Schizosaccharomyces pombe: one gene and its partners. The protein of the gene in region 1 interacts with the protein of each later gene in a pairwise test. Each region holds a gene or a part of one and is shown on either strand. Other genes may lie near its edges.

Evidence for each region.
Region 2: the proteins of cdc5 (region 1) and cwf5 interact in binary tests that used the Schizosaccharomyces pombe proteins (3 or more experiments, as listed by UniProt).
Region 3: the proteins of cdc5 (region 1) and prp5 interact in binary tests that used the Schizosaccharomyces pombe proteins (3 or more experiments, as listed by UniProt).
Region 4: the proteins of cdc5 (region 1) and spf38 interact in binary tests that used the Schizosaccharomyces pombe proteins (3 or more experiments, as listed by UniProt).

The regions. Positions count from the first base shown.
Region 1 is NC_003424.3:2,692,133-2,697,930, forward strand, and holds cdc5 (splicing factor Cdc5), read left to right. Parts: upstream 1-2,566; 5' UTR 2,567-2,625; coding exon 2,626-2,644; exon of another isoform or gene 2,645-2,684; coding exon 2,685-2,704; exon of another isoform or gene 2,705-2,761; intron 2,762-2,770; coding exon 2,771-2,785; exon of another isoform or gene 2,786-2,849; coding exon 2,850-2,969; exon of another isoform or gene 2,970-3,038; coding exon 3,039-3,487; exon of another isoform or gene 3,488-3,551; coding exon 3,552-5,202; 3' UTR 5,203-5,285; downstream 5,286-5,798. Other genes in the region: [pyruvate dehydrogenase (acetyl-transferring)] kinase Pkp1, read right to left, coding at 1-42, 102-974, 1,054-1,220, 1,304-1,397; SPOM_SPAC644.13C (Rab GTPase-binding protein), read right to left, coding at 5,286-5,798. UniProt on the Schizosaccharomyces pombe protein: Involved in mRNA splicing and cell cycle control.
Region 2 is NC_003421.2:1,185,325-1,189,600, reverse strand, and holds cwf5 (Prp19 complex subunit, RNA-binding Cwf5), read left to right. Parts: upstream 1-1,978; 5' UTR 1,979-2,032; coding exon 2,033-2,308; intron 2,309-2,359; coding exon 2,360-2,716; intron 2,717-2,776; coding exon 2,777-3,208; downstream 3,209-4,276. Other genes in the region: Ski complex RNA helicase Ski2, read left to right, coding at 1-1,866; coa4 (respiratory chain complex assembly protein), read left to right, coding at 3,434-3,583, 3,630-3,713.
Region 3 is NC_003423.3:1,444,171-1,448,655, reverse strand, and holds prp5 (Prp19 complex WD repeat protein Prp5), read right to left. Parts: upstream 2,565-4,485; 5' UTR 2,545-2,564; coding exon 1,123-2,544; 3' UTR 921-1,122; downstream 1-920. Other genes in the region: rps1002 (40S ribosomal protein eS10), read right to left, coding at 157-524, 573-648; nrk1 (nicotinamide riboside kinase), read right to left, coding at 2,983-3,182, 3,269-3,635, 3,810-3,878, 3,981-4,005, 4,060-4,091. UniProt on the Schizosaccharomyces pombe protein: Required for both cell cycle progression at G2/M and pre-mRNA splicing. Interacts genetically with the PRP4 kinase.
Region 4 is NC_003423.3:4,402,273-4,406,423, forward strand, and holds spf38 (U5 snRNP complex subunit Spf38), read left to right. Parts: upstream 1-2,157; 5' UTR 2,158-2,288; coding exon 2,289-2,333; exon of another isoform or gene 2,334-2,374; coding exon 2,375-2,479; exon of another isoform or gene 2,480-2,517; coding exon 2,518-2,590; exon of another isoform or gene 2,591-2,639; coding exon 2,640-2,899; intron 2,900-2,944; coding exon 2,945-3,188; intron 3,189-3,249; coding exon 3,250-3,545; 3' UTR 3,546-3,614; downstream 3,615-4,151. Other genes in the region: adn2 (transcription factor), read right to left, coding at 1-575; U1 snRNP-associated protein Usp109, read left to right, coding at 3,699-3,715, 3,755-4,151. UniProt on the Schizosaccharomyces pombe protein: Involved in mRNA splicing where it associates with cdc5 and the other cwf proteins as part of the spliceosome.

The DNA of each region.
Region 1 (5,798 bases):
CCTAGTATAAAGTCGAGCGAGAGGAAGACCAAACCCGAAGCCCTATGCATGTTTGTTAGTATTATATATTTCAACGATCAATAATAAAATGTTTCACTTACAGCCATAGGAGTAGTAGAATTTGCGCTAACGATATCGTGAGGATCATCTGTCAATGTAGGAGAGGCAGTTGTAAACATGTATGACCAAACTAAAGGGATATTTCGACGGGATATACCGCCTCCTTCATCAGAGATTTTGATGGTTATATCCTCTTGTCCTTTTGCAACAATGACCTTTATGGGAGGAAAGAAATCACTGTCTACACCATGAAATTCTACGGTTGCACGAAGACTGTTTTTGAGAATTTCAAAGACTGCGTGATTTAAATGGGACTCTACATACATCATTTCAAGTGAAGGATCGCAAATAATTTGAATCTCAGGTGCTTCAAACAATCCGTACGCAAGCCTGCAAATGTACTTGGCATTTTCAGCAGCACCTTCTATTATTTGATAAATATTTGCACGTGTACTTATCACACCAACGTAATTCTCACGCGGCGGTTCAGAGACAAGTGCTATATATTGACCTAACAGCATTCGAATTCCAATACGAGACATGTAAAACCTATCCAAAAATATTTGAATACTGTTGTCAATTTGGTTAGTCTTCCTTCGGTATTCTTGTATGTCCAAAGCAATTTCGACTGCAACGTTATCGTGTCTAGTTCGAATGGTATTTAAAAGGTATGCAAAATTACTATTAAATTTTAACAAAGATTCGGGCCAATTACAATCAACGCCATTATCTTGGTCAGAAAAATCTGTTTCAAAATAGCGACCTTTTGAAGAGTCTAAATGAGTATTTGCAAGCGAGGGATTATGAAGAATTTCAGAGTCCATTAAACTTGACCTCCATTTCGGGGCATTGTGATATCGAGCGTGCTTTGGAAGACATTTCGGTAGTTCCACTCCTTTCAGTTCAATAATTTCCTTCAACCAGTTAGCTTTGTTTGATTTCTGGTTATGTTTCGACAAGTATCGAACATGCAAATATACACATTTGACCTACCTCCATAGATCTACCGTAAGCAGCCTTTACGGAAGATATACGCTTCATACTTCGTAGCATCGGTGAAAGATTCTGCAGGTCTTGGATGCGCCGAGCCAAGCGAATGGGCAATTCATCTCGCAAAAACAAGCCAGCCCGGAAAAGTGTTCCTGGTGTAGGGTTCTTGCCTTCATAATAAAAATTAAGCAGTCAGTATAAAATTTCTAGTATGAAGTAATCTAAGAAAAATTAACTGAGCAAAAATTCTTACCAAAATACACTAATTGCTTTAAAGACAACCCTGTTTGAGGATATTGAGCCAAGAGATTGACTTTCTCCTGTAAAGTTTTCCCGAGCACTGACATTTCTTTTAAACCTTAAGTTTTTCTTTAAATTCGATAATGATAAATAGAACAATTGTTCAATCGTAAACTTTGTTGGTTTGTCTAACAAATAGATGATAACCCATGGACGAGCATAAAAAAAGCGGCAATTTGCAAAATATAACCTAAAGAAAGTAAAAGATGAGCTTCAGAAACAAACAAATAAAGCAGTTTCTTAATGTTTTCACACAGAATCTAAGAAAGCTTTTGCTAAACTAATGCATTCATATGTTTGCAAAGTACCCATAAAAATAATGAACTTGAGTGTATTCCATTAAAATTGAAATGCGTGATACATTATACTTCTTTTGCATTGCTTATTTTATTTTTCACAATACTGCTAGCTACACAGTTTGTTATCTAATTTAAGGATACGTAGAACTGCGGTGAGTTTTCCTTGTGGTCTATTATATTACAATACACAGGTCGTATGAGTAGCAACTGAGTATAGGTATTGTATTAACTAGGTTATAAAATGTTACCTATCACTAATATAGCTTATAACTGAACCTCGTTCCTCAGTTCAGTTAAAACTCTATTTATAATATTTCTAAATAGTTGCTATCAACGGGTATCTATGTATATAGACGGATAGTTACCCGTGATGATCAATAGACGGATCTTAATTAGTATTCCAACATATGACATATAGTGATATGTAACGTAGTGTAGTATTGCTGACAAATACGCGGTCATTAGGTTACTTAACGATACACATAATACTGCAATGCTTGTAGTTACTTGTTGATATACCAACCATAAATAAGAGGAAGAGTATGGTAGATCCACCTTCAAGATAAACATATTTGATCATTGCTATATCCTGCTTGTCAAATATTTTCTTAATACTCAACGGTTAGGAATATTCAAAAAAATTTAATGTTGTCCAACGATTTTGCGCTATTATATTTTTGCGATAAAGAAACATGTGCTACATTGAAATAATTTAAGGTAAATATGTGATACGTAGCAAACTGGAAAAAACAATAAAATGAATATTTGGTTTGACTATTAGTGTGTTTAAGAAACTGTTCTTTTAAAAGTTAAAACTACTTTAAATATAAAATATAATTTTGGTCACTTTCTGCTGCACTCGACATTTACCTCAATTTCCCATCCACCCTGTTTCGTCGCAAGTTGTTACAGTTACTACAAACCTCCATTACCACGCTTTCTGACAATTGTCAGGGTTTTGGCGAATATTTAGAAAATGGTTGTTTTAAAAGGAGGTTTGTAACTTTTTTTATTGTATTTTCTAACATAATTTAGGTGCCTGGAAAAATACAGAGGTAAAGACTATGATTTTAACCTTCTACCACGCGCAATGTTTTTGTTACTAACTTATTGGTAAACAGGATGAAATCTTAAAGGTATTTTTTTATTTATTAGTTACATATTTCCTTTAATATTTAGAATACTAACGCAAATTCCTAGGCTGCTGTCAGTAAATACGGTAAAAACCAATGGGCCCGCATAAGTTCATTGCTGGTTCGCAAAACTCCTAAACAATGTAAAGCTCGTTGGTATGAATGGATCGATCCAAGCATTAAAAAGGTATGTTAAACATGTAATCACTATTTGTTATTTGACAAGACCTATTGTTAACATTTCCTTCACATTTAGACTGAATGGAGTCGTGAAGAGGACGAAAAATTATTACACTTAGCTAAGTTACTTCCTACACAGTGGCGGACGATTGCTCCAATTGTAGGTCGGACGGCCACTCAATGTTTAGAACGCTATCAAAAACTTCTTGATGATTTGGAAGCGAAAGAGAACGAGCAGTTGGGATTGATCAGTGGAGAAGGTGCAGAAGCAGCTGCGCCTGTTAACGATCCAAATTCCCGGCTTCGTTTTGGCGAAGCAGAGCCCAATTTAGAAACCCTACCTGCACTCCCTGATGCCATTGACATGGATGAAGACGAAAAAGAGATGTTGAGTGAAGCACGTGCACGTTTAGCAAACACACAAGGAAAGAAAGCCAAACGAAAGGATAGAGAAAAGCAGCTTGAATTAACTAGAAGATTGTCACATCTCCAAAAGCGAAGAGAATTGAAGGCAGCTGGAATCAAGTATGTGTTATTATTATTACTTTATTGTATTGTTTTTCCTTCATTATGTTAATCTATAACTTAGTATAAAGCTCTTCCGTCGAAAGAAGAATGAAATGGATTATAACGCTTCTATTCCATTTGAAAAAAAGCCAGCGATTGGTTTTTATGATACCTCAGAAGAGGACAGGCAAAATTTTCGGGAAAAGCGAGAAGCGGACCAGAAGATAATTGAAAATGGAATACGGAATAATGAAATGGAATCCGAAGGTCGAAAATTTGGTCATTTTGAAAAGCCAAAACCTATTGATAGAGTAAAAAAGCCCAACAAAGATGCCCAAGAAGAAAAAATGCGACGTCTTGCCGAGGCTGAGCAGATGAGCAAGAGGCGGAAGTTGAATTTACCTAGTCCTACTGTGTCTCAAGATGAACTGGATAAAGTAGTGAAACTAGGCTTTGCAGGCGATCGTGCTCGCGCTATGACTGATACGACTCCAGATGCTAATTACAGTACTAATTTGTTAGGAAAGTATACACAAATTGAACGAGCTACTCCATTGAGAACACCAATTAGTGGTGAACTTGAGGGAAGAGAGGATTCAGTTACAATTGAAGTTAGAAATCAATTGATGAGGAACCGCGAACAATCTTCTCTCTTGGGTCAGGAAAGTATACCTTTACAACCTGGTGGTACTGGTTACACAGGAGTTACTCCCAGTCATGCAGCTAATGGCTCAGCTTTGGCAGCACCTCAAGCAACTCCTTTTAGAACACCACGTGACACATTTTCTATTAATGCAGCTGCGGAGCGAGCAGGACGATTAGCAAGTGAAAGAGAAAATAAAATTCGATTGAAGGCTTTGCGAGAATTGCTTGCAAAACTACCTAAACCTAAAAACGACTATGAACTAATGGAGCCTCGATTTGCGGACGAAACTGATGTTGAAGCTACTGTTGGAGTGCTTGAAGAAGACGCAACAGACCGAGAACGTCGTATCCAAGAACGTATTGCAGAAAAAGAAAGGTTGGCAAAAGCGAGGAGGTCACAGGTTATTCAAAGAGATTTGATTCGACCATCTGTAACACAACCAGAAAAATGGAAGCGTTCACTTGAAAATGAAGATCCGACTGCAAATGTTTTATTGAAAGAAATGATTGCTTTGATTTCATCGGACGCCATTAATTATCCGTTTGGAAATTCAAAAGTGAAAGGAACGGCTAACAAAGTGCCTGATTTGTCAAATGAAGAAATTGAGAGGTGTAGATTGTTACTAAAGAAAGAGATAGGGCAACTAGAAAGTGACGATTATATCCAATTCGAGAAGGAATTTTTGGAAACGTACAGTGCACTTCACAACACCTCAAGTTTGTTGCCAGGCTTGGTAATCTACGAGGAAGACGATGAAGACGTTGAAGCCGCTGAAAAGTTTTATACGAACGACATTCAACGAGATTTAGCTAAGAAAGCATTGGAATGTAACAAGTTGGAAAATCGGGTTTATGATTTGGTTAGATCTTCATATGAGCAACGTAATTTTTTGATAAAGAAAATCTCGCATGCTTGGAAGGCTTTGCAAACAGAAAGGAAAAATTTAACGTGCTACGAATTTCTATACAATCAGGAGCGATTAGCTCTACCTAATAGGCTTGAAGCAGCTGAAATAGAGCTAAGCAAAATGCAACAAATCGAGGCGTATGCTCAACAAGATTATGCTAGGGTTACTGGACAAAATTAAACTTCACTTCACTTTGTTTTAAATAATTGTCATAGCTTATCATTCATAGTGTATATTATCATGCCTGAAATAAAACGAAAGTTTTATAAAAAGATAATCCAAGCTAGAGAAAAGTAGAAAAGGAATAAAGGGTATACTGCCAACAATTTTTTGTTGGATAGATTAGAATTTTGTAAAACACCCATAGCAGCGAACAATGTCCAGGCATACATTGCAACAATCACAGGTATGCGTATAAATATTAAGGGAACGAATGCACAAACTATAGAAGCAATCATTAAAGGGAAAGAGGAGTACCCCAATATACACATAGATTGAAAAATGCTAATGTTGGCCCCTAGTAATTTTATATTTAAAGAACAAACCGCTTCCCCAAACCATATGAGCGCGACAACGACTGTAAAAACAGATTCTCGTTCAATCTTGTCAGTAGACAAGGCAAGTGCTAAAGCAATTACGAGGGAAAAAATCAAAGGACCCCACAAGTCCCAGTCGCGTAGTACTTGAGCATTTTTGGGATACAAAACATAGACGAGTTTTTCACCAATAGCTCTAAATTCATTAAATAATGTAACACGAATGGGTTCGTCCAGAGA
Region 2 (4,276 bases), on another chromosome or scaffold:
GCTCGATTAAAAAAAGAAGATCGATTGCTTCCTCAAATCGGTCGTATGCGAGAAATGCTTTCTCGTGGTTTAGCCGTTCATCATGGCGGACTGTTACCCATCATCAAGGAAATAGTAGAAATCCTTTTTCAAAGAGGGTTGGTGAAGGTTCTGTTTGCTACTGAGACCTTTGCAATGGGTGTAAATATGCCTGCAAAATCGGTGGTTTTTTCCGGTACACAAAAGCATGATGGACGGAACTTCCGTGATCTTCTTCCCGGAGAGTATACACAATGCTCTGGACGCGCTGGACGCCGTGGTCTTGATGTCACTGGTACAGTTATTATATTATCGCGTTCAGAACTTCCTGACACAGCTTCGTTGAGACACATGATTATGGGGCCTTCGTCTAAGCTTATAAGTCAATTTCGCTTAACATATAATATGATACTTAACCTCCTACGTGTAGAGACGCTTAGAATTGAAGACATGATTAAACGCAGCTTTAGTGAAAACGTTAACCAAACATTGGTGCCTCAGCACGAGGAAAAAATAAAAAGCTTTGAAGAAAAGTTGTCGGCTTTAAAGAAGGAAATGTCTGATGTTGATTTGAAAGAAATTAAAAGTTGTTTATTGAGCAGTGAATCTTTTAAAGAGTATACCAAAAAAATGCACTTCCGAGCAATAACTACTGCAAATGGCAAAAGAATATTTAAAGATGGAAGAGTCATTGTTTTTCAACAACTTGATTTTACTCGCACTGTTGGAGTTCTACTCGGAACATCCATTAGAACCAATGCTTCAGACTGTACACTGGAAGTTGCATATTTAAATCCACAGAACAACCTCAAACGACCATCGGATTTACTTGCTTTTGCTGACGCGTTCAATGATGTTTATGATAACGCTATCTTTGATGAATCAAACCAATTCAAGTATGGCCTTATCAATCTTTCCGGTATTGAAAGAGTCTGCAATACGATCCTTCGAATTGATTCTGGTGGAATTAGAGACCGTCGAGGGGGGGCTTTTCGAAAACTTAGTGAACAATTTGCATCAATTAAAAAGTTTTCCGACCTGCTTTTTGAAGAAGTTAATTGGAGTAAAGTCAGAGACTTTGAATTTTGTGAAGCTTTCGAAAAACGAAATTTTCTTCAGAACAAGTTATCCGGAAATCCAATTATCTCGACTCCAAACTTTCTTACTCATTTCGCCTTAGCTTACCAAGAGTATGAATTGGAAAGCAATATCGATAACTTATCTTCCTATATTTCCGATCAAAACCTAGAGTTACTGCCTGATTACGAACAACGGATAAAAGTATTGCAAGAACTAGGATATATTGACGCAGAGCGAACTGTTTTACTAAAGGGAAGAGTCGCATGTGAAATTAATTCCACCAGTGAATTGGTATTAACAGAGTTGATTTTGGAAAACAGTTTGGCGGACTTTTCTTGTGAAGAGACAATAGCATTGTTGTCTGCATTTGTTTTCGATGAGAAAACGGAGGTTGAACCCACAATTTCTCCTCATTTACAAAAAGGAAAGGAAATGATACTATCAGTGGCCGAGAAAGTTAATCAAATTCAAGAGCACTATCAGGTATTGTATTTTAATGAAGGTAATGATTTTGAATCACAACCACGATTTGGTTTAATGGAGGTTTGCTACGAGTGGGCTAGAGGGATGTCTTTCAACCGTATCACAGACTTAACAGACGTTTTAGAAGGATCGATTGTAAGAACAATTATAAGACTTGATGAAGTTCTACGTGAATGCAGAGGAGCAGCCCGTGTCGTCGGCGATTCTTCCATGTATACGAAGATGGAAGAGTGTCAAAATCTAATTCGCAGAAACATAGTCTTCTGCCCTTCACTGTATATGTGAATTTAATAGTTATATATATTTGTAGATTTAAATGATATTCATATGAAATTTTATGTGTTTTTCACGAATTTTATTTGTCTTAAAAGTCTTCGTATTCCACCTTGCAAAGTTTAACACCACCACATATTTACAAAGATTAGCATTGCAAGAGAATTGCGTTTCTAATATGTCTCATGGACCAAAAGGTGATATAAATAAACAAGAATGGGAGGATGTTGAATTTCCAAGCATCTGTGAACGTTGTTTGGGCGACAATTCATATGTTCGTATGACTAAGGAGCCACTTGGACAAGAATGTAAAATTTGCTCAAAACCTTGTACAATCTTTCGGTGGATAAAAGAACGCGGCCAAAAGCCTGGAAAAACTCAAATTTGTGTTGGTTGCGCCAGATATAAGAACTGCTGTCAGAGTTGCATGCTTGATTTGCAATTTGGTTTACCGGTAAGTTCAATATTTCATTCAACTATAATAGTCAGCTAACGTTCCATGAAGATTGCCCTGAGGGATGCAGCCCTAAAACTGGTCGAAAGCGGTCCCACTAACGATATTAATCGCGAATTCTTTGCTCAAAATCAACAACGCCTGTTAAGTAATGGCGAAACGGCCTACGATAGCCAGGAAGCAAGCGCCGCTGCAAGAAATCTTGTTAAAAAGGTAGAAAAACGAGAATTACATTCAAGACCTCCTAAGCGAAAATTAGATGATGTTGAGTCTAAGCAAATATTAAAGGAGGCTCGAGCATCTGATGCATCTTTAAATGCAGAACGCCCATTATTTCCGGTTAAAAAAATTATTAATGGGAATGTTTCCTTGTCTATTAATATGGAACCTCCTAAAGATAAAAAAATCGTAAGTGCGACTTAAAAGTAATTTAAGCTTGATGGCGCATTGTATTGTGCTAACATTTAGGCATCCCTTTTCCTTATTGGCGTCGAAGATGAACTAGCTGACTATAAAATTCGTAAACATTTTGAACAATATGGGCCTCTTAAATCAGTTGTGTGTTCTCATCGAGCAAAATGCGCATTCGTAAACTTTAAAACTCGTTCTAGTGCTGAGATTGCGGCGGCGGCATCTCCCGATGGAAATGTTGTTATAGAGGGGTTTCGACTGAAAGTTCAATGGGGAAAACCTCGTTCTCTTGGAGGACCTGAGGGTGAAGTACGAAACGCAAAGTTGGCAGACCTTGTGATGCGAGGTTCATCCCATGGAAATAAAACCTCCCAAAAATCTACGATTAAAAACATTGAAAATGAAGATCATGAAAATACTAAAAGCCCTGCAGTTGCTATACCCATTGACCCCAATCAACCCCGTTACCGATCTCAAATTCCGCGGTGAAGTCAGTTGGTCATTTAAAACCTTTGTAGTAGCTATTAACTTATTTTCTCTAATACTGACAAGCTTTATTCTGTATTTTCTTGTTTATTTGTCTTTGCACCTTTTCTGTCGTCTCTCGGTCATTCTCCTTAAATAATCAAATATCTGCTGCTTTACCTTACTCAGCAAAACACTTTGGGTTTTGCATATTTTTTACATTATAAAGCATCAATTTATTTTTTCTGAATGGATAGTATTGAAAAAACTCCTGACGGAGAAGAAGAGGAAAAAGATGTATGGGACACTGCTCTTGAAAAAGGTGGATGTGTAGAAGAGCACCTTCGACTGAATGATTGCTATTGGGATACTCATGATTGGAGGAAATGTACAGAACAGGTAATTATATGTCTTTAAAAAATTTAGCTAATTCTGATATTTTTAGATGGAAGAATTCAGGAAATGTTGGGAAAAGAGACATGGTCCTTTGCCAAGTATCTCAGACAAAAAAAATAAAAATTTATCTTAATGAGTTTCTATATCATGTGATTTTGTGAAAAAAATAATTATTCTGTTTACGGCAGTTTTAGTACGCTGTTATTAGGATGAATTCTTTTTATTGAAAAAGATATAATGCATGCGGAACTAATTAATTGGATTCTTCAAATACGAAGACAGTGTTTCAAATCATTAACTCATTTGATATAATTTTTTTGAATATTTTCTGCAATTGCAGAGTTTTCAGCTATTTATTTTACGAAGTCTCAGTTGTCATAGTGCATCAATTTTTCTGTGTTATGTGGTATGGTAAAGCAAGTTATGACTTAGTATTGAATTGATAGGATGGAGTTTAAATACGCAAAAACATATTTTACAATTCAACGTTGTTGTCAAATTGTATAAGTCTGTTTCAAATCTGATCCATCGATATTGGAAAAGTTCTGTACTTATAACCCGCTTTTATTGTTGCATTTGTTGAAAAATAAAAAATTTGACTTTAGAATGTTTTCATATTGAACATGTGAACGTATTCAACTGTCAAAAAATGTGTGCAGTTTAGTAAATAAGCGTAATTTACCCATCAATAAACAA
Region 3 (4,485 bases), on another chromosome or scaffold:
ATAAAAAACATAAATACACTCATTAAACTATCCAACCACTAGTAGGAATTCATAATCTGCATAGCTGATTTACATCTACGGTTTACTAATACAGTACACACACACATAAGATCCTACCAAGCATACATTTGAATTGAATATATTAACTTTTTGGGCTTAGGCAGCAACAGGGCGACCGAATCCACCACGGAAGGAAGGAGCAAATCCACCGGGAGCAGCACCATCATCCTTCTTCTCGGCACGGCGGTAGCCAGCATCAGCAGCAGAGCTACGCTCACGAGGCTCAGGACGGCCAGCACGGGGGGCAGCAGGACGAACTTGACGCTTGTGAGTAGCGGGCACAACCTCAGCGGGAAGGTGCAAATACTCACGCAAGTATTCAACACCCTCGTTGGTCAAGGTGTAGTAAAACCATCCCCAATTGTAGCGGGTCTTAAGATAGCCGCGAGAATCCAAGGATTGACAAGCCTTAATGACTTGCAAGTTGGGGACACCAACTTCGGGGTGCTTGGGGAGGTTGAAATCTACGCTTGTTAGTTAAACCTTGGTCTACGACGTTTTTTAGACATTACCCTTCTTAGCAACGAGGACACCTTGTTGGAACAAAGCTTGATGAATGGCCTTGCGGTTCTCCTTGGGAATAAGCATTTTGTGAGGAATTTGCACGCTGCAACTTGTCGTTTCTGTGTTGAGGTCTACACAGTGACTGTTTTTTTAAAGCACATTTAGGGTAGGGTATGGTCTTTTAAAGAGATAAGGAATTTTGTTACAATCCGTTAATGGGTCTTTTTCCAAGAAGTAAACAATGGAACCTTGAAAACGTTAAGGCTAATAGGAAAGCAAATCTATGACTATGGAATAAAGCACAAGTTCATTACAACAGATTAAAAAATTTTCTTTAAGAAAGCAACAATAATAATCTATAGTTTTCTTATTTATGCACTCCAAAACATCAAGCATGAGAAAATTACTATTTAGAAACAAGCCAATATTTTATCATTGTTTACCGCCTACCAAAAGATGACATTAAATAGTAGATTCAAAAATTGGAATCTCATATCTAGCAATAACATACATATCATAACTATCCTCTCAATCTTAATCTTGGAAGTCGATGCCCTATTAATATCGCCGACGAAGATTTGATGGTGTCCATGGCAAATTGGGATGTGTTTCAGGTGTGGCATTGTCCACTTGTTTGTATATCTTTACGCTTTTATCAGCCTCACAAGTAATTAGACGCAAACCGGTTTTATCAAAAGAACTAGCAAAGATTCCAGCTTCGCTATCCAATGAACCAGGTTGAACAACAGATTGAAGCTCTTGATATTTGTGACCAGACTTCCAATCCCAAAAGCACATGCTTCCATTATCAGCACCAGAAAACATAACATTATCTGAGTTTATTGAAAGAGTATTAACGATTGCATTATGTCCTTCAAAATTACCCATAAATGCGCCTTCAGGGAATTTCCAATGTTTGATATTGTCGGACGAGCCACTGGCAAAAGTAAATTCATCTGGATGCAAAGACAGGGCACGAACAGTTTTTTTGTGATGTGTCAAGGTCGTCAAGGTTTTCCCAGCTGCTAAATCCCATAATCTGATAGTAGAATCCATGGAACCCGTGACTACTTGAGGATCGAATTCTTGAACGGCTAAAGAAGCAACAGTGGATTTGTGGCCCGATAAAACATGGACATTTTGGCGAGTGCGCATATCCCAAACACGAGCGACTGCATCACGACCAGCGGTAACAAGGACGTCAAGTGTTGGATGGAGTTTTAAGGCATAGACTCCGGAAAGATGCCCGTGATAATGGCGGATCACTTTATTAGTTTCGAGGTCCCAGCATTTTACCATTTTGTCTTCACCACAGGAAAATAAATATGGATGACGGGGAGATACTGCTAATCCTCGCACAGTGGCGATATGCCCAGTCAATGTTAGCTTAAGTACTCCAGACGCTAAGTCCCATATTTTGATGGTGCGGTCCCCAGCACCCGTGCAAAACCATTGATTACCGGGTTCAACATCTACGCATCGAACCCAACCCAAATGACCACTAATAACACGCATAAGAGTCCATGGAGCATGCCATTCAGGGCGAATCTGTTCGGCAAGAGTGCGCTTTACGAGAGAAGCCTGGGATTCTCCGGCAATTCTATGTGCTGCTTCAGGAACTCCTTTAATTTTTTCTAAAGATTGCATGGAAACCTGCCCTGCTATTTTCTTATTAGGATCTGAAAACTTGGTGATCACTTGGGAGGAAGGGTTTTCACTGTCTGCTCTAACCGTCAAAGCATTACTACCAATAGTGTCTTCTTCGTAATGTCGGTTCTTCCGTTTTCCAACAGTTCCTCCAAGAACAGAACCATATTCTAAATGTTCTTTGTATGTTCTTTTGAGATTTTGAGCTACAGTATCGTCAAAACTGGTAACTGACCCAAACTCGGCTCCAAAAAGAGTTTTTGATGTTCTAAGACTATTTGTAGTCAAAGAAAGTACATCTGTATCATCCGATATGTTTTTTGCTTCTGTCATAAATCTGTTAAATTTTTGGTAGAGGATTTGTAGGTAGATGGCAGTTGGACTGACTTATTTGAAGCATCATAATCCACGAACATTAGCGAACGAGAAATATTAAGTACTAATATTTGAGAATAAAGTAGCTTACAAATGAATTGTCAAAATAAAAAAAGGGATGGTTATCAAGTAATAAAAGTTTGTAATATATATACATTTATTAAACGGTCTAGTTACGGATTATTAATAACATGATGTTCTAAAAGCGATAGTAGCAATAAATATATGGAGAGGAGGAAATGATGGAAAGTAATTAATTAACCCTGAATTTAAAAAGTAAATCATGCACAGGTAGTCTTGTCTAAAAAGAAAAAAAAGAAGCGGTAGAGAGGATTTGTGTATAAGTCAGGTAGTACTCAGAAAATACAAGTCGAAGAAAAGATAGATCAAAACGGATCATTGTAAAGCATTCAAAATTGAATTAATGGCCCATTGGACGTTATCTCTCACAGACATTTTACTAGAAGGGCTTAACTGTATACGCTTATCAAGCAATTTCCCTGTCACATCGCCATTGACAAACAAATGGGAATGACCATGTACATAGCCAGGCCAAACATAATTTTCGAAATAATGTGGGGGGTCTTGCCAAAATCCTGGAACAATTTGGAGTTAGCCTTAACTGAAAGGTACAACGATTAAACACAGGTGTTATGTTTTATCTGGATAGTTGAATTCTTACCTTCCAACGTTATATAACCAGTACGGGCTTCTCTACGACGCTTAAGCGTATCAAAATCGGTCACCAGCATCAGTCGAATATCAAATGCGTTTATAAGGTCTTCATTAACGTACATCATAAATCCGTCTACGAAAACGAGATGCTGTTCCAAAGTTGGAATGGCCGGTGCCTTGAATTCTTTAATTATATCAGCGTATTCTATTAGGGCTTCAGGAGCAACATTTTTATTTTCCCTATTTCGAAGGTGAGTAGGTAACACGCCATGATCACGGATATAATGCAAATTTTCAAGGAAAGCGTCTAAATTCAACGACTCTTGGCAATCCCAATCGGCAATGCCGTTTTTGACTGGTATCTCAGCATCAGTCTACAAAACAAACGAGTTAGTATATCAATAGGTGCTTTGGCACTACATAAAAACACAGTGTTTGCTTCATCGATAAGATTCAACCATCGGTTTTTAAAACGAGGGTACGATTTATTCTATGACACTTGCAAAATTCGCACGACTAGGCAAATAGACGAAATAATCTAAACGAACCTTGTAAAAATCATCTTCATGAACGAGAGAAGATCCTTCAAAAATGGCATGTAAAAGCTGGCATAGAGTCTGTCAAAACAAGAAAGAGAAATTGGTTAGTACTTCATTTTTTTTTTATTTTGGAGTTTTTGATTTTATTTTATTCTTTCTTATTAATCAAAATTATCATACCGATTTTCCACTACAAGAGGCACCACTAATTTTTTCTTGTTAATAAAAATTCATTAAAACAATTGCCTGTAGAACTTACCTAACCCCAACAATGATAGTTTTCCGAGTCATTCTAATGATAATATGGAAAAATGAAGGTAAAAATTGAGACAAGAAGCCTGGACAGAAGCTGGATACTGGAATTCGGTCTGTTATATTTGCACAACACAATTAATTAATTACCAGCCAAAAGCTGTAAGACAGGTTAACCGAATTTTAAAAAGAATTTGGATTTAAACAAAGCGCCTAGTATCTTAAATCAAGCTCGATGATTATTTGTTATGGAAATAAACGAGAATTTTAAAAAGATATGTGGTAAAGAAGCCGAATCCACAAAATTTTATAACAACCAACAAAACTTTTAGATATACAAGAACAAGTAAAAGATCACTTATAACGATTTCGCAAGTATAAGAAAATGGAAAAAGAAAGGAGTATACAAATTCTTTACGGTATAAATGGAGGA
Region 4 (4,151 bases), on another chromosome or scaffold:
GTATTTCCAGTGTGTAGAGAGTTTTTTTGAATTTCTTGCAAATTTAAACGAGATTTCTTCCTAAGATTGCTAATATGAGACATATACGCCTTTGCCGGCTCAGATCCTTGACCCCGACGAGCATTGTAAATATCCCAAAAAACATTCCACCACTCGATTAAAAAACCACCAGCTGAATCGATAGGCAAAATAGGAGGTGGCGGCGGAGCAGAAGAAGAAGAAAAGGAATCTAAATTACCGTTATTTACATTCATGTTTTCATCCGAAGATTCATTATTACTTATACCTTCATGCTTTACAGCAACAGGAGACATTCTTTTGTGACGCTTAGCTAAGGAATTGGTTTCTTCTTGACTTCTGACGAGCGTTTGTACTTGTGCTTCACGGCCAAAAGCTCGGGCTGCCTCACAATAATCCTTCTTGATTAAATAATCATATATGTACGAATTCAGTAAGGATTGTGTGGTCCTATCGGCATTATTTACGTGCGGTTGTTTTTGATCTTTTTGTAAATCATGTTTCTGTCCTTGCTGGCTTGGCAATCCGACGCCGGACCTTAAACCTGGATCAGCCATAAACTAGAAATGTGCAGAAGTTAGGTGTTGCGAACGAGAATATGGATCTACAACGATGCACGCTGGCGATATATAATTTTAAAGATCTGCGCACGCTATACTACCGCAACATTTTGTATATCATATTTTCATTTTAGTTTTCTATCAATTACTGAAAATCATAAAATCATAAATGTTATGTTTGAATTTAGTTACAGAGTAAATCAAAACCCTTGAAGAGTAAAACTCTATAGAGGTTTCTTATTTTCCAAGGCAAGTCATGCTCTAAAAACATTTTTAATAATAGTTATTATGTATATATTCGGATTTGAATTATCTAAAATGGGCTATATTAAAATATGGTTCTAAGATGATATACTTTCAATGAATCAACCAGTGGTAATTTCAGATTTTATATATGCAAACTTACTAACTGAAAACTGTGGAATTAAGGGATAGGTGGGTTTAGAAAGTAAATGTAAATTGATATTTCTTCATCCGTAAAAACATCATAATGAATTAAGAATACTATTAGCCGCAGTTTTTTGTAAGAATGCTGTAATTATGTAGATAGTATCAATTATTCTTGTTTTATTTACCTTGCCTTGGAAAATATACATATCTACAGCTTTTTACATAAGTTAGCGATGTAAATACTAAGCACTGGAACTCATATTATCATTTTCTAAAGTTGTTAGAAATGCTTTTAGTAGTAAAGATTTTGGAATGTGTTCACTATTCGAAAACTAGTTGCAAATTGTGTTTTTCAGTAAATCAAGCAAGATGCTTAATTTTGGCACTACAAGTTTTTAGAAAGTACTTACATGAAGATTGGAAGCTTTGCGTAAATTTGTTTAGTTTCACATATTCCACATTTTAGTTTTCTATAATTCATTTTTTATCAAGTAGAAAATTTAGTTTCTCTCTTTCATTGCAAATGCTATAATCCGGCTTTAGAACTACTATCTACTGGATAATCCTTTATTATTGCCATGCTAGATTCCCTGTAGAATTATGGATTTTGATATTAATCAAAAATTAATTTCTTAAAGTACAAATATATTCGACGGGAGAAAGTTTATGAAATTTTGTATGCGGTTATACCTAATCAGTGATTATCTCGTTGTTTATATTTCAATTTTTGAGGCGACTAGAATAGACAATTCAGCCCAGAAAACCGTACATACAATTTTTAAGTAGAAAAATTTGTTAATAACTATACCCAAAAAAAATGTGATTACGCATCTTTAGCTAATGGCAAAATGCTTCTCAAGTGTTTTTGATGGTGGTAAAATCGAGATAGACTAGATATTAAAGCCGCTCGTTAAATATTATAAGACATTAATTGATACTAGTGTTTTTCCTCAAGCACAAACAAGGTCTGTATATAGTATACGGAATAGATATTTCTTACAATTTATTTATACTGTTTAAACGAATTTTAAATGGCTTCCATGAGAAGGGTAAATTTTTAGGGATTTTGCCTGTAATCAAAATGTTGTTCATATAAATTCTACTTTAAGTCCTGTTTATAGGAATGAGCTCATCATTCCTCGTTATTTGAACACCAAAGAAAAGTCCGATTTATTGGTATTTTGGTTGTGACAGAAACCCCTGCGACGATTGTCGATCCGTTTTATATATTTTCCACTCCCGTCCCTGCTATTCATTTTACGTTCTAATTCTGAAAACTGTCAATCAGAAATTGCAGTTATTATATATAGTAAACTGGAAATGGATAAACGAAAGGAATCGGAGAGTGCGACTAATGGACATTTAGTATGTTCGATTGCTAAAAAAACATGCACTAATATAAATAGGTTAAAAGAATTAGAATCCAAGATTCTAGCTTAATAACGGAGGGTTCTGTATTGCAACGAACATCTGATCTCAATGTTCCAAACCTACAGATGTTTGGGCATACGGTATGGTTGTATTGAAATAAATCATACTAACGCTTTAGGCTGAAGTTTTAGTCGCCAGGTTCGATCCTTCTGGATCATACTTTGCTTCTGGCGGTATGGATAGACAGATACGTAAGTGCAGCTGTAATTAAAATGTTGATTTATAATAACTGTGGTTTAGTTCTTTGGAATGTGTTTGGTGACGTTAAAAACTACGGAGTATTAAATGGCTGCAAGGGAGCCATAACTGATTTACAGTGGAGCAGGGATTCACGCGTAGTTTACTGTTCTTCCTCCGATACACACCTCATGTCTTGGGACGCTGTCTCTGGTCAAAAAATCCGGAAGCATAAAGGCCACGCTGGCGTGGTGAATGCTTTAGACGTTTTAAAAGTTGGTTCCGAACTTCTGACTTCTGTAAGTGATGATTGTACTATGAAGGTATGGATATTGTTATTAAAATATGGAATAGTTACTAAATTTAAGGTATGGGACTCGCGGTCAAAAGACTGCATAAAAACAATAGAAGAAAAATATCCCTTAACGGCTGTCGCAATAGCGCAGCAAGGAACCCAAGTTTTTATCGGTGGTATTGACGGAGCTATTAAAATCTGGGATTTACGAAACAATCACTGCTCGCATGTTCTGAAAGGGCATAAAGATATCATTACTAGTTTGGCTATATCTAAAGATGGATCTAGCTTACTTTCTAATTCTATGGACAACACGGGTATGCTAATTTTTTTTGGGTGTTTGATCAACCTTTGTACTAATGCTATTTTAATTTATAGTTCGAATATTTGATGTAAAACCTTTTGCTTCTGCTCAACGACAGTTGCAAATTTTTGAAGGAGCTATTCACGGACAGGAGCATAATTTGTTAGGTGTTGCCTGGAGTCGTAATTCACGATTCGTTGGTGCTGGTAGCTCTGATAAAAACGTATATGTTTGGTCAGCCACAGGCGATTTACGTTATGTATTACCCGGACATGAGGGTTCAGTAAATCACGTTGACTTTCATCCACATCAGGACATCATTCTTTCATGTTCCTCAGATCGAACAATATTTCTTGGGGAATTGAATTAATTTTTATTTCATGAATAATTTTTCAATAAACATTAAATACTATTAAAATTTTCTGTAGAACTTATTATTTGACGATCTTAGTTGTCAAGCCTGTTATAATTCCTATAACTACAAGTTTCTTAGATTTCGATTAATTATCAAATTATATGCGTTATGAGTACATCTTTATGGTAATGATACATCATCTAATCTTATTTCTAATTAAACAGGTTAAATAACTTAGAAGAATGGATGAATGAGGACTATATTCGAGCAATTTTTGAAAATGTTAGAAAAGTAAACTATTATGAAGATGGCGAGTCGGGAGCTATTTTAAAAACTTGCTGCATTGAATTTGAGAGTCAAGATGCTGCTAGGAATGCTTTAGAAAGGCAATCTACTCAACGATTAATATCTGGGAACCCGATCTCTTTAGATGTGGTTCCTGAATGGCAAAAACCTAGTTACTATATGCTTTTCATTAGTAACATTGATCCAGAAGTGTCTGAAAATGATATAAAATACTTGTTTCAACGTTATAACTTTATTTCTGCTCGTGTTCTACGTTGTGTTGACGGGACTTCAACTAGCATTGCTTTCATATGGTTAGCTAATGAAAGTGATATA